Linked DNA regions of Caenorhabditis elegans. The protein of the gene in region 1 interacts with the protein of each later gene in a biochemical or structural test. Each region holds a gene or a part of one and is shown on either strand. Other genes may lie near its edges.

What was found.
Region 2: the proteins of cdc-37 (region 1) and hsp-90 form a complex in vitro, tested with the Caenorhabditis elegans proteins (3 studies listed by BioGRID).
Region 3: of the proteins of cdc-37 (region 1) and pph-5, one has a biochemical effect on the other in vitro, tested with the Caenorhabditis elegans proteins (one study listed by BioGRID).

What each region holds. Positions count from the first base shown.
Region 1 is NC_003280.10:577,554-582,446, forward strand, and holds cdc-37 (Hsp90 chaperone protein kinase-targeting subunit), read right to left. Parts: upstream 3,041-4,893; coding exon 2,949-3,040; intron 2,340-2,948; coding exon 1,952-2,339; intron 1,906-1,951; coding exon 1,297-1,905; intron 1,162-1,296; exon of another isoform or gene 1,108-1,161; intron 657-1,107; coding exon 534-656; downstream 1-533. Other genes in the region: W08F4.7 (CW domain-containing protein), read right to left, coding at 77-179; W08F4.3 (Sigma non-opioid intracellular receptor 1), read left to right, coding at 3,068-3,203, 3,265-3,386, 3,439-3,688, 4,105-4,283; fbxb-14 (F-box associated domain-containing protein), read right to left, coding at 4,558-4,893.
Region 2 is NC_003283.11:14,684,477-14,689,069, forward strand, and holds hsp-90 (Heat shock protein 90), read left to right. Parts: upstream 1-1,683; 5' UTR 1,684-1,687; coding exon 1,688-1,837; intron 1,838-1,884; coding exon 1,885-2,589; intron 2,590-2,637; coding exon 2,638-3,623; intron 3,624-3,681; coding exon 3,682-3,949; 3' UTR 3,950-4,063; downstream 4,064-4,593. Other genes in the region: C47E8.4 (Protein FAM50 homolog), read right to left, coding at 1-40, 138-208, 258-329, 564-663, 717-846, 893-1,001; C47E8.11 (uncharacterized protein), read left to right, coding at 4,161-4,235, 4,283-4,444. UniProt on the Caenorhabditis elegans protein: Molecular chaperone that promotes the maturation, structural maintenance and proper regulation of specific target proteins involved for instance in cell cycle control and signal transduction. Undergoes a functional cycle that is linked to its ATPase activity.
Region 3 is NC_003283.11:19,188,671-19,193,667, forward strand, and holds the start of pph-5 (Serine/threonine-protein phosphatase 5), read left to right. Parts: upstream 1-1,876; 5' UTR 1,877-1,884; coding exon 1,885-2,008; intron 2,009-2,066; coding exon 2,067-2,314; intron 2,315-2,945; coding exon 2,946-3,125; intron 3,126-3,794; coding exon 3,795-4,037; intron 4,038-4,866; coding exon 4,867-4,997. Other genes in the region: Y39B6A.3 (Iron-sulfur cluster assembly 1 homolog, mitochondrial), read right to left, coding at 670-822, 928-1,017, 1,094-1,181, 1,230-1,294.

The DNA.
Region 1 (4,893 bases):
GCCGAAATGGCACGTTATTGGGTCTGCTAAATCAAAATTTGAAGTTTGTAGGCTAGCAGACCCATCCTAGACTCACTTCCATACAAGCTCAATTGTGCCAAGGAAAATGGGACAAAAACTAGTAGAATAAGCCGCGAATTTACCATTTTCAGCCAAAAAATGACCGATAATACATCCATTATTGAACTTTATAGTTGTCAGGCGGAGACTAACGTTTGCTTACAAAACATCACTTTCAAAAAATCGTGAGAAAAAAAAACGAATAAACACAATAAGAAGAAAGTTGATGATGATAATCTTTATGCTATTCCGAATTGGAATTTTTGAATACGAAGTGGAACGATTCTCGAAGCAAAAAAAAACTTTTTTACAGGTGTTCGAGAGGGAAAATAAACAGTAAATGTCGTGGGGGGTGTAGAATAAATAAAGAAATAATTGGGCCATTTTCAGTGAATCTTGGGGAAAAAGTAAAGTGCGGTGCAGAAAAAACAAGTAGATCAGGGGAACTTTCAAACGGGGAATAATGGGGAAATTTAGGAGCTGGTTGTTGGCTCTTCCTCGGCTGGAGCAGCTTCCTCATCGTCGTCGTCGTCGTCAGCTTTTCCGGGCACCCAGAGTCCAGAGGCGATGCATCGATCGAAATGGTACTTGAAGACCTGAAAATTTGGATTTTTGGATGTTGAAATTAGATGAATTTGGCTAAAAATAATAGCCTACAAACTACTAATTTCGATTTAGCAGACCATAGGTGGTTTTGAAGAAATTTGGTCTGCTAGACTACAAACTACAAAACTCGATTTAGCAGACCAAAATTAAAAAATGCCTGTTTTCAGCTTAAAATTTTGATTTTTGATTCGTTTTTTTTTGGAATACAATGTTAATTCACTCAAAAATTTGAAAATAGATCAATTTTCCCCCGAAAGTTCAGATTTTTTCAGGATTTTATATTAAAATACGCACTTTTGTCTTAAAACACAAAAATCGCACAATTTTCCACTAAAAATCGCAAAAAACCTGAATTTTTGCTAATTTCTATTTGAAAAATATTCATTTTTCCGCTGAAAAATTGAAAATTTATCAATTTTTGCAATTTTCATTGCGAAAATTGAAAACTTTGGGTCTGCTAGTCTACAAACTACACATTTCGATTTAGCAGACCAATGCCATTTTGAAGAACCTTGGTCTGCTAGACTACAAACTACAAATTCCGATTTAGCAGACCAATGCCATTTGGAAGAAACTTGGTCTGCTAGACTACAAACTACAAATTTCAATTTAGCAGACCCAAATATTCACCTCTTCATCCATTTTCTGGGCGACACCCTTCAACGCCTCGATATCATGTGCCTCAAAGCACTTTCTCATCTCCTCCGGCAGCTGCTCGAACACTTCCTGTGGATCGATTCCTCCCGGAGCACTCTTCATTCGTTCGGCTTTCTCCTCGGCTTCAGCCTCCTCCATCGCGGCGTCTCTCTTCGTCTGCGCACGTGTTCTGAGACGATCCTCGAACGCCTTCACCTCATCCTGATAGTGCTTCATGTAGACCGGCTCGGCGGCTTCGAACTTCTTGAAGAATTGCTTCTGGACGGTGGTATTCGTGGCGACTGCGTTCAGCGATTTCGAGAGCTCCAGAAGATATTGAATGATGATGCATTGCTCAGCCATCGTCTTCATTTTCTCCTCATTAAAATCGATGGCGGCGTTGAGAGCCTCAATTGTGAGCCAATTTGCAGTGTACTCCGACGCCATATGCGGATGCTCGGCCAGGAACAGCTCCGTCGACTTGGCTCCGTTCTTGAGCACGGCCATCTTCTCCAGAAGGCTCTCGTGAGTCTCGAAGAAAGTGCTCATCGCATGAGTGTCCTCCTCATCGGTTTTGGGAGCTTGCGGCTTCTTCTCGGTGATCTGAAATTACAGAATTAATCAATTTGCACAGAAAAATCTTCAAAACCTTATTGATCCTCGACGTGCTGAACGCCTCATGACCGATCGTGTCGACGTTCCATGGCTCCAGACGCTCTTTCTCCTCGAGTTCGGCCTCCTTCTTGCGCCAGGCTTCTTCTTGCGCCTTCACCTCGTCGATTTGCTTCTGAATATCCGACTTGTCAGTGACATCGGCTGCGGCAAGCTTCTTCTCGAGCTCCTCCATCTTCTTGCTCGTCGTGCCCTTTTCCTTATCGATTTTCTCCTGTTCCATCTTCTTCTCGGCCATTCGCTCCAAACGAGCTTGATGGCGCCATCTGAAGAGCGACGGAGTGTCAATGTTCGGGTGAGTGTCGTCCTCGTCGTCGGAAACCTCGATATCCTTCCATTTGGAGTAGTCGATTGGCATTTTTGAGCTGAAAATCGAGAAAATTGAGTGGAAAATAAGGAATTAGCAGGAAAAGCGAGAGAAAACTGATAATCGCTGGAAAATTCCGACTCGGTTGCCACGACAACGAGGATAATCCGCGTGAAATTACGAAAACAGAAATTTCATGAAGAAAACGTGGCATTATAATGATGTTTCAAAGGATTTACGTGGAATTAACTATTTGCTGAGCAATTTTCGAGAAATTTCTTCAAAATTTCTCAAATAGAAATACTACGTTTTCTAGCGGATTTCGGCCTTTTTTTTGGCCCAAAACTCCGACAAATTGATTTTTAAAAGCCTGTAGAATTAAATTTAGACTTCTAAAAGTGGAAAAAATCGAAGGAAACCCCGAAAATAACATGAGAAAGGCGAAAAATGACTTTTGTTTTTCTTCTCGGTCCTTCTGTGGCAATGCGCGTCAGATATGGTGTTTTCTGTGTGCTTCTGCGTCACGGTGTTTGCACACAATTCCTTTTTCGCTGATTTTTTTAATTTTCAGCGCGCTGCAGCGCCATTTCTTGCATTTTTCAAGCATTTCCATTGATTTTTCCGCGAAAAAACATCTGAAATTTCAAAAAATCAATGTTAAACTCACAATTTTTCTTCTTCGCACTCGCTGTCCCTCTTGAAAACTCGCGAAATGACTGTATTTCCTTTTTTTTTCACGCAAAATTTCCAAATTTCCATGTTTTCAGGGTAGTTCAACACGTGAAAATGGCTCTTCTCACCTCAAAGCTTCGGTATCTTCTGCTCTTCTACGCAGTCTTCCAGGCTGCTCAATTTGGCCTCCGCTGGAAGTCTTATGACATCTCGCCGAAGCAGTTCAAGACTATCGCTGGAAAGGCTGCTGGTGAGGAAAAACATATTTTTCTGCGAAAATACCGCAATTTTAATATATTGTATATTTTCAGCTGCTCCAACAATCTCCCAGTCAATTTCCACATTGACGTCTGGAATGCGCACTTATTACGAGCCAATCATGCCAAGTCACTTCGAATGGCACGCTATTCAGTTGGGAGGCCTCACTTTAAGGGTGAGGAACAGGAAAAATCGAAAAAAAATCTTAAATTTAATGAATTTTCCAGATGTACCCAATGCTGACCGCTTTCACCGAGTTCGCCGCCGCCTTCTCCGCTCCGTTCCCAACTTCAGGACGCCCGGGGCTCCATTGGGCAAATACGACGTGCACCGTGTTGAAAGGAAAAGTCAGCCGATTCAATGACGGAACTCAGGACGAGACGTCGGAGAACTTTGCTTCGGGAGCCGCTTTCAGGCACGGACAGTTCGAGTCCCACGTGTACAGCTTCGAGAAGGACACCTACGTCGCGTGCTACGGTAAATTACACCGAAAATCAAGGAAAATTCGTTTTTTTTTGAGTCTGGCAGACCAATTTCGAATTAAAATCACCTGGGTCTGCTAAATATAATTTTGTAGTTTGTAGTCTAGCAGACCAATTTCGAAATCAAATCACTTGGTCTGCTAAATATAATTTTGTAGTTTGTAGTCTAGCAGACCAATTTCGAACTGAAATCGCATGGTCTGCTAAATACAGTTTTGTAGTTTGTAGTCTAGCAGACCAATTTCGAATTGAAATCACTTGGGTCTGCTAAATATAATTTTGTAGTTTGTAGTCTAGCAGACCAATTTCGAACTGAAATCGCTTGGTCTGCTAAATATAATTTTGTAGTTTGTAGTCAACCAGACCCATATAAAAATCCCCTCGTTTCTAATGAATTTTTATATTTTTCAGGTCGCGGCTTCCTCCCACTCTCCTCCACCGTCCACGTCACCTCTGGAATCTCACTCGGCGAGCCACTCTCGGTCATTCAATTCTACATGAAGCAGGCCTACAACTACTGGAACAACCTGAGCCACACCCTCTATCGTGTCTTCCAGCACTACAAGGCCCGCGCCACTGGAGAACTTTAAATAATTTATGTGATTCCCCATCCGGTGCATTTCTACAAGCATTCTAACCCGAAATTTTCATTTATTCAGTCATGTTTTATCCCAATGTCCCCCCTCTACTTCCATTTTTACGGTTGTGTAATTCGATTTCTTGAGCCATTTTATTGCATAATTTAAAATACAAGAACATATTTATTTCATCACCTCAACCATTTAACCATATAGCTCAACCGAAAAAAATAATTGCACAGGTATTTGAAGGCATTTGCAGTGAAAGATGATCAAAAGTCGCTGCTTACTCATCGTCGGCCAGCCGGACGAATCGAACAGTAGTTCTGGTGAGGGAAACCTTTGCCTTGATCCCTCTTTTGCACACAATTTGGACGTGTTGAACCATTCCATCATCCACGACCAGAGGATCTTCGTATCTAGTAAAGTCTATTCCGCGGAGAATAGTTCCATGTACAGGATGCTCAATATTCAGACCATCTACAACAAGATCACTGATTCTCAGCTGTGAGTTCTGAATCCAGATCTTCAAGAACAAGTTGACATCCTTTGCAGTCATTGAGTGGTGCAATGAACGAAGCGTTCGACTATTTGACAAGAACACCTCGTTCAGTGTGAGATT
Region 2 (4,593 bases), on another chromosome or scaffold:
TTGCTTCACACGCCACTCGGCTGCCAATGATTCTTTCTTTCTGAAACCAGACTTATTATTTTTTATTTATTTGTTCACCGGGATGATCTACACCCGCCAAAATTTGAAATGTCGTTGTTTTTTCTTCTAGAACTCACTTTCTCAAGAACTCCTCTCGTTCTTTATCAGGCAGGAAGCTTGTGTCGACAGTTGGGTCCATTCCAACGCGCTGCAAACATTTTTCGCTTTAATTTTTTCTTTTTAATTATTATTCTTACCTTTTTCGGGATAATTGGTGCAGCATCTTCTTCGTCCTCTTCGTCATCAAATGCAAACGATAAAAATCGCTTCTGAAATTAGCAATATTAAAACAGTTTTTCTCGAATGTTCTACAAAAATGTTTTATATCTGCGTTTCCTCACACTCTCACCTGCCCTCAATTTTTCTTTCTCGAAAGTTCTCAAATTTTTAGAAATCTGGTATAAAAGACTCTTTCGACGAGAAATCTCTAGTCAATTGAACTACAACTGCTACCCGAGTCTAGAGCCTACAACCAAATTTCTACAGCAATCCTTCACATTTACCTGGGTATGTTTTGCAACGTGTTCTTCTTTTTCTCGAGCTTCTTGTGAATCTTTAGATTGAGTAGAAGATGATTGGTCTCCCCGGGCCACTTGTAGATCTCTATAAGGTACACATTTTTATTGTGAGGCTCTCCAAAATGTAGAAAATCGAACCTGTTTGAAATTTCGTTTTTCTGAATATTTTTCATATCATCCAATGATACCAAGCCATAGGTTTTAGACTTCACGACTTCTTCGACTGTTTCATAGTTTGCCATGAATTTATTCGTAATTCCGACCCTGCCTGCAAAATTTGTAGTTTTAATAATTAAAAAGGGGTTTCACCATACATTTTTCTTTGTCTTCTTCAAGCTTTCGCAATTGTTGTTCGATATCTTCCTTTTCACGCTCACGTTTCTTTGCCAAATGAATCAAGCGGCCTTCGTCGGCGCGGGACATTTTATTAACTGCAAAAATAAAATAAAAACCAATGAAAGCAATATTTTTCAACGAGTTCAATATTGAGAGTGACATATAGTTTATTTCGGGATTTTATTTAATATAGAATAATAATTTTAGATTTTTTTTTGGTGCAAAAATACCAAAAAAACGTCTTTTCGACGAAGTAATCTGAAAAAAATGAAGAAAAAACAATTCAAACTAAAAACAAGAAAATGTTTGTGGCCTAGTTACCTATTCTGCAAAACTTCGGCCAGGTGCTGAAAACGCGCTCTATTGACAATTTTCGTCGAGAATTTTCCGCCGAAAAGGGCAATTTGAAAACCAACCAATCAAATTGAAAGGCCACGCCCTCCTTCGAGAACATTTCGCATCTTGTTCAAAATTTAGACCTTCAATTACGCCTCAGAGCTCTGATATTCCCAGTTCTTTCGGTTTTCGGGTGAAGATTTTTGGTTTTCCTCTCACTAATATGGCTTTTATGTTAATCACGGATCATTGTTTTTGATTTTTAAAGGTTTTTGAACAATAGTTTTAGGCCTAAAATTAGTTCATTTCTAGATAAGGTTATAATGTGTTTTTAGTTTCGAAATCATTCGCCATGCGTGCTCTTTCATTCATTGAATCGTTATAAAGTTCTATTCAGTTTTTGTTGCTCGATTGTTAATTGATATTTTTCCAGAACCATGTCCGAGAACGCCGAAACCTTCGCATTCCAGGCTGAGATTGCTCAGTTGATGAGCTTGATCATCAACACTTTCTACAGTAACAAGGAAATCTACTTGCGTGAATTGATCTCAAACGCCTCCGATGCTCTTGACAAGATTCGCTACCAGGTTTGTTTTTTCGCTTCTGAGTCAATTTTTTAAAATATCGGTTTTAGGCACTCACCGAGCCATCCGAGCTTGACACTGGAAAGGAATTGTTCATCAAAATTACTCCAAACAAGGAGGAAAAGACCCTTACCATTATGGATACCGGAATCGGAATGACCAAGGCCGATCTTGTCAACAACCTTGGAACCATTGCCAAGTCTGGAACCAAGGCCTTCATGGAGGCTCTTCAAGCTGGAGCTGATATTTCCATGATTGGTCAGTTCGGAGTCGGATTCTACTCTGCTTTCCTTGTCGCCGATAAGGTTGTCGTCACATCCAAGAACAACGATGATGACAGCTATCAATGGGAGTCTTCCGCAGGAGGTTCTTTCGTCGTTCGTCCATTCAATGACCCAGAGGTCACCCGTGGAACGAAGATTGTCATGCACATCAAGGAGGATCAGATTGACTTCCTCGAGGAGCGCAAGATCAAGGAGATCGTTAAGAAGCATTCTCAGTTCATCGGATACCCAATCAAGCTTGTGGTTGAGAAGGAGCGTGAGAAGGAGGTTGAAGATGAGGAGGCTGTCGAGGCTAAGGATGAGGAGAAGAAGGAGGGAGAGGTCGAGAACGTCGCTGACGACGCTGACAAGAAGAAGACCAAGAAAATCAAGGAGAAGTACTTCGAAGACGAAGAGCTTAACAAGACCAAGCCAATCTGGACCAGAAACCCAGACGATATCTCCAACGAAGAATATGCTGAGTTCTACAAGGTATTTTTAGTTTTAATTATTTTATGGCAATAATTCCATTAATTTCAGAGCTTGTCCAATGACTGGGAAGATCATCTTGCCGTCAAGCATTTCTCCGTTGAGGGACAACTTGAATTCCGTGCTCTTCTCTTCGTCCCACAAAGAGCTCCATTTGATCTCTTCGAGAACAAGAAGAGCAAGAACTCCATCAAGCTCTACGTTCGTCGTGTCTTCATCATGGAGAACTGCGAAGAGCTCATGCCAGAATACCTTAACTTCATCAAGGGAGTCGTCGATTCTGAGGATCTTCCACTTAACATCTCTCGTGAAATGCTCCAGCAATCCAAGATCTTGAAGGTCATCCGTAAGAATCTTGTCAAGAAGTGCATGGAGCTTATCGACGAGGTTGCCGAGGACAAAGACAACTTCAAGAAGTTCTACGAGCAATTCGGAAAGAATCTCAAGCTCGGAATCCACGAGGACTCTACTAACCGCAAGAAGCTTTCCGATTTCCTTCGCTACTCTACCTCCGCTGGAGATGAGCCAACTTCCCTCAAGGAATACGTTTCCCGCATGAAGGAGAACCAAACTCAAATCTACTACATCACCGGAGAGTCCAAGGATGTTGTTGCTGCTTCAGCTTTCGTCGAGCGTGTTAAGAGCCGCGGATTCGAAGTCCTCTACATGTGCGACCCAATTGATGAGTACTGCGTCCAACAACTCAAGGAGTATGATGGAAAGAAGCTTGTCTCCGTCACCAAGGAAGGACTCGAGCTCCCAGAAACCGAGGAGGAGAAGAAGAAGTTCGAAGAGGACAAGGTTGCCTACGAAAACCTTTGCAAGGTCATCAAGGACATTTTGGAGAAGAAGGTTGAGAAGGTTGGAGTTTCTAACCGTCTTGTCTCTTCCCCATGCTGCATTGTCACTTCCGAGTACGGATGGTCCGCTAACATGGAGCGCATCATGAAAGCTCAAGCTCTTCGTGATTCCTCTACTATGGGATACATGGCCGCCAAGAAGCATCTCGAAATCAACCCAGACCACGCTATCATGAAGTAAGTTACCCAAAAACTATTTTAAAATGAACATTCACAAACGTTTTTGCTATTTCAGGACACTTCGTGATCGTGTCGAGGTCGATAAGAATGACAAGACCGTTAAGGATTTGGTTGTTCTTCTTTTCGAGACTGCTCTTCTCGCTTCCGGATTCTCCCTTGAGGAGCCACAATCTCACGCTTCCCGCATCTACAGAATGATCAAGCTTGGTCTCGATATCGGAGATGACGAAATTGAAGATTCTGCTGTTCCATCATCGTGCACCGCTGAGGCCAAGATTGAGGGAGCTGAGGAGGATGCTTCCCGCATGGAGGAGGTCGACTAAACATCCTATTTAATTTATCATTTGTTACGAGAAGATCTCCCCAAAAGCCCCTCCACAGTTTTATTCATTGTTTTCCTGTCTATCGAACCCAAATAAAGTTCCGTAATTAATTTCATCAATGTTTTTTTTTGCAAACGTGAACTTTTGAAGAAGCACATTTGAACAGTTTAGATACTCGAGGGAAATTAAACAGTTTTAGTTTATACGAAACATGATTGCAATCTTATTCGAGTTGGCATGTTTCCTGATCTTGGCCAGTGCTGTTTGCTGCATCATTCCAGAACCGGTTTATACATGAGTTGGAGATGAGTTTAATATCTTTTCATGTTTCAGGAAAAGCCATTCAATCCACCTCCACGTCCAAATTTCAATTATAACCTCTGGGATCCTGTCAATGAAGATTTCGAAGGACGCAAGTTGGATGTTCGTTGGTGGAATCCGGAAGAAGAAGATGAAGATGAAATTGTTCCAATCCCACCAAACCTTGCTGTCTAATCTCTCATTTTATTTCTAAAAATAAAAATTTTTCGATAATCGTTTTATGAACATATGCTTATTCTCTTGAAAAATCCGCTTTCCGCGCACGCAAATCTGTTGATGCGTGCTCAAATTGACATCCGTTACCATGCCAACTCTTTCCAACT
Region 3 (4,997 bases), on another chromosome or scaffold:
TTTTAAAAATCTAAAATTTGTGAGTTTTTCACATATAAAAAATTAAAATTTAACTTAAAACCGTGATTTCTTATAATTTCCATCGTTTTTCTGAATTTTCGAAAATTGTGTCCAAGTGGTGCAGTGGGATTTTCGCCGACTACCAATCATACCTCCGGGGTTCGAGTCCCCGCTGTGGTAAAAAATTTTTATTTTGATTTTTAAATGGTTTTCGGATAATTCCACCATGCGGAATCCGAATTTTCAAGTTTTAGAACACAAAAACTACGAGAACATGGTGAAAATTGAATTTTAAACTTTAATTTTTTTTAAAATCTAAAATTTGTGAGTTTTTCACATATAAAAATTTAAAATTTAACTTAAAACCGTGATTTCTTATAATTTCCATCGTTTTTCTGAATTTTCAAAAAAATGTGTCCAAGTGGCGCAGTGGGATTTTCGCCGACTACCAATCACACCTCCGGGGTTCGAGCCCCCAGCGTGGTCGAATTTTTTTGTATCTTTTGTATTTTTCTCCAAACAAGTTAATCATGCAAACTTCATATGTTTTTCACCTGAAAATTGCCAAATTTTCTGCACTATATTCAAATTTATTAGCATTTTTTCTAGAATGTACACGTGGAAATCACTACTAAATTATGGTAAATAGCGTAGCAAATCATCATCAAATCAAATACTAAAAGATTCTCCGCATCCACACGTTCCTTTAATATTAGGATTTCGGAAAACGAATTCCGACGATAGCTTATCGGTGACGTAATCCATTTCTGAGCCGAGTAGCGAGAGCTGAGCTTTTGGTTCGATCCACACTTTGATTCCGTCCTGGAAAATGGGAAAAATTGGGGGATTTTTCATCGAAATTAGTGAAAATCCGGGTTTTTTGTGATAAATTTGAGCTAAAAATCCAGATTTTGAGGCAATTTCTACCTGCTCAACTTCCTCGTCAAATTTCTGCTTATCCTTTGCATATTCCAGTGTATATGTTAACCCATTACAGCCTTTTTGTCGAACTCCGATCTGAAAAAATTAAAAATTTCATCATTTCCGGCGGCGCAAAAATCGAAAAATCGAAAAATCGACGGAAAAAACGAACTTTCAACGCATTTGCATCATTCTGTTGAGCCAATAACACGCGTATTCTGCTGACGGCTTCGTTGGTAAGTGTGAGAGCCGCTCTGAAACTTTTTCGGGGTGAAAATTGGCAGATTTCCGGGAAAATTCAGAATTACCTCGTTTGTCGGACTTTTAGCGCGCCTTTTATGACTTTTGCAGTTGCTCCACCGAATTTTGACATCGGAAAATTGAAAATTTAGTCGAAAAATGAGTAAAATAGCGAAAATTCCAGAAATAAAATGAAAAAAAAAAAAAAAGTGACAACGTTGCTCCGAAATCCCGGCCACGCGTGTAGTTTACCGTAAATCCAAACAAGAAATTTTTTGTCAAAATTGCCGAAATCAAGCGATTTTTAAGCTTTTTTTCTGTAAATTTTTTACGAAAATATGAAAAAATCAACGTTTTCATGCTATTATTTATTTTTCCCCTGTAAAAAACCTTTGAAATCATCGAAAAACCCTTAAAATCCAATAAAAACCCAAACACAACGACACTCCGCTCACCTCCCACCGCGTGTTGTTTACCGTAAATCCACACACAAGAGCAATTGTGCAAAAAAAAAAAACCCCGTCCAACCGGAAATTGTCCCAAAATTCTTCATTTTCTATCGATTTTCTTGCATTTTTTGTGTTTTTTGTGAATTTCAGGCTCAACATTTCGAAAAACACGGTTAAATTTTAGGGAAACCGCTCCGAAATTCGGTTTTTTTCGCTAAAAAAAAAGAGAAAAAAAAGAAAAAAAAAAATAAAATCTAAATTTTCAGGCTCCGAAATGGCTGCCACTATAACAGATGACATTGTGGCGACAGTTTTGGAGTCAATTGAGGAAAAGTCGTACGAAGATGAGAAGGAGAAGGCTGGAATGATTAAAGATGAAGCTAATCAGTTTTTTAAGGGTATTTTTTGGAAAAAAACCGATTTTTTGATGAATTTTAAAGTATTTTCCTGCTGCAGATCAAGTGTACGACGTGGCCGCCGACCTCTACTCTGTCGCAATTGAGATTCATCCGACGGCGGTTCTTTACGGAAACCGTGCACAGGCCTATCTGAAGAAAGAGCTCTACGGAAGTGCTCTTGAGGATGCGGACAACGCGATTGCAATTGATCCGTCATATGTGAAGGGATTCTATAGAAGAGCTACCGCCAATATGGCTCTGGGGCGGTTTAAAAAGGCGTTGACCGATTATCAGGCGGTTGTTAAGGTGAAAATTCACTTTTTTTGGGTGTTGAAGAGCGGAAAAAACGGCGGTTTAGAAACTATTTTTCACCCGGTTTAAGAGAAAATTTCGAAAAAATATATCAATTTTCACCTCCAGAAAGTCGGAAAACGCGAAAAATTTGAAATTTTGCTTTTTCAATTTTGGGCGCTGCTAAGACTACAAACTACAAGATTTTGGGCGCTGCTAATTCAATTTTGGGCGCTGCTTAGACTACAAACTACAATATTTTGGGCGCTGCTTAGACTACAAACTACAAGATTTTGGGCGCTGCTAATTCAATTTTGGGCGCTGCTTAGACTACAAACTACAAGTTTTGGGCGCTGCTAATTCAATTTTGGGCGCTGTTAGACTACAAACTACAATATTTTGGGCGCTGCTAATTTAATTTTGGGCGCTGCTTAAACTACAAACTACAAGTTTTGGGCGCTGCTAATTCAATTTTGGGCGCTGCTGACAGCTTTCGGCCGAAAAAATTGAAAAGAAATCGATATTTATGAAAAAAAAAACCAATTTTTATGAGAAAAACGTGATTTTTGATAATTTTTCTCTCAAATTTAGTATAATTTCAAAAATTCCCGTATTTTTCCCCGAAAAAATTTCCATTTTTTTGCAGGTTTGCCCCAACGACAAAGACGCTCGCGCAAAATTCGACGAATGCTCGAAAATCGTCCGCCGACAGAAGTTTGAAGCCGCAATTTCGACGGATCACGACAAGAAAACCGTCGCCGAGACTCTTGATATTAATGCAATGGCTATTGAGGATTCGTATGATGGTCCACGGCTGGAAGATAAAGTACGGGTGGAAAATGGCTGTGAAAATCGATTTTTAGACGGAAAATTGATGTAAAACCGGCAATTTTGACCCCGAAATTCAATTTTCAGAGCGGAAATTGCGATTTTCGGTGGAAAACTGATGTAAAAATCAATTTTTCATAGAAATTTGATCTAAAAAACGGTCCAAAAACATAAATTTTTGTGAAAATCGATCTAAAAATACGTTTTTCAAGGGTAATAGGCCAGAAATTCGAATTTTTTTGCGAAAATTAGTCCAAAAAATCGATTTTTCAAGGGAAAAGTGGTCCTGAAACTATTTTTCATAAAAATTAATTTGAAAATCTATTTTTCACTGCAATTTTAACCCAAAAATCGATTTTTCACAAAAAAAAACTAGCATTTCCGGTCAGAAAACGTGCAAATTTCCAATCTTTTTTGGATTTTCTGGAATTTTCATTAAAAAATTGGTCCAAAAATCTATTTTTCATAGAAATTTAGTCCAAAAGTCAATTTTTCACGAAAAATTCGCCTGAAAATCATTTTTTTTTCATAGAAATTTAGTCTAAAAATCGATTTTCCGCAAAAAATACAGAAAAAAAGTGAATTTTTCGTTAAAAAAAAGCGAAAAATTGAGTTTTTTCCCGTTTTTTCCGTAAAAAACCGCAAAAATGATCAAAATCCTTTTCAGATAACCAAGGAATTCGTGTTGCAACTCATCAAAACGTTCAAAAATCAGCAAAAATTGCACAAAAAGTACGCGTTCAAGATGCTCCTCGAGTTTTATAATTATGTCAAATCACTGCCAACAATGGTTGAAATTACGGTGCCAACTGGCAAGAAATTCACGATTTGCGGTGATGTTCACGGACAATTCTACGATTTGTGCAATATTTTCGAGATTAATGGATATCCATCGGAGACTAATCCATATGTACGGGGAAAGCGCTGAAAAATGAGAGATTTTGACTGAAAATCCGGGAAAATTGAGGAATTTTGAGCTAAAATTCATAAAAATTTCCAATTTTTGACCGAAAATCATGAAAATAGGCAAATTTTGTGATATAATCATGTTTTCTAGTGAAAAACCTCTAAAAATTGAATTTTTTTGCAGAAATTATTGAAATAAGCTCAATAAATCGACATTTTGATTGAAATTCGTGAAAAAATTTCAAACATTAAAACCAAAACAGCTGAAAATTGAGGAATTTTCACCAAAAATGCGGATTTTCAGATAAAAACCCTGAAATGATTTTTTTTTTCAAAGTTTTGGCAGAAGTCATTGAAAAATTCCGAATTTTTAGCAAAAAGCAAAAAAATTGCCAATTTTTGACTTTAAATTTATGAAAAATGCTCGATTTTTTTACTAAAAACCGCCTGAAAGCCAAAATTTTGTCAAAAATCTTGAAAAAGTCGAATTTTCTACAAAAAACCATCAAAATTTCGAAATTTTGACTTAAAAATCAATGCAAAATATTTTTTTTTCACTAAAAAGCTGAAAAATGCTCTTTTTTAATGCTCGAAATTTTGGCTAAAATTCATTTTAAAAAATCCTGATTTTCACCAAAAATTGGCAATTTTTCATCAAAAAACTTGAAAAAATTTCAATTTTTTGCTGAAATTGCAGAAATACCACAAAAATTACCAAATTTTGACTCTAAAAATCACGAAAACACCTAATTTTCACCCCAAAAACCCCCGAAAATGGCCAAATTTTCACTTAAAATATGTGAAAAATGCTCAAAAAATGGCCAAATTTTCAGCTTTTCAACGGTGATTTCGTGGATCGTGGCTCATTTTCCGTTGAAACAATTTTCACAATGATTGGCTTCAAACTTCTATACCCAAATCATTTCTTTATGTCACGTGGAAATCACGAATCTGACGTCATGAA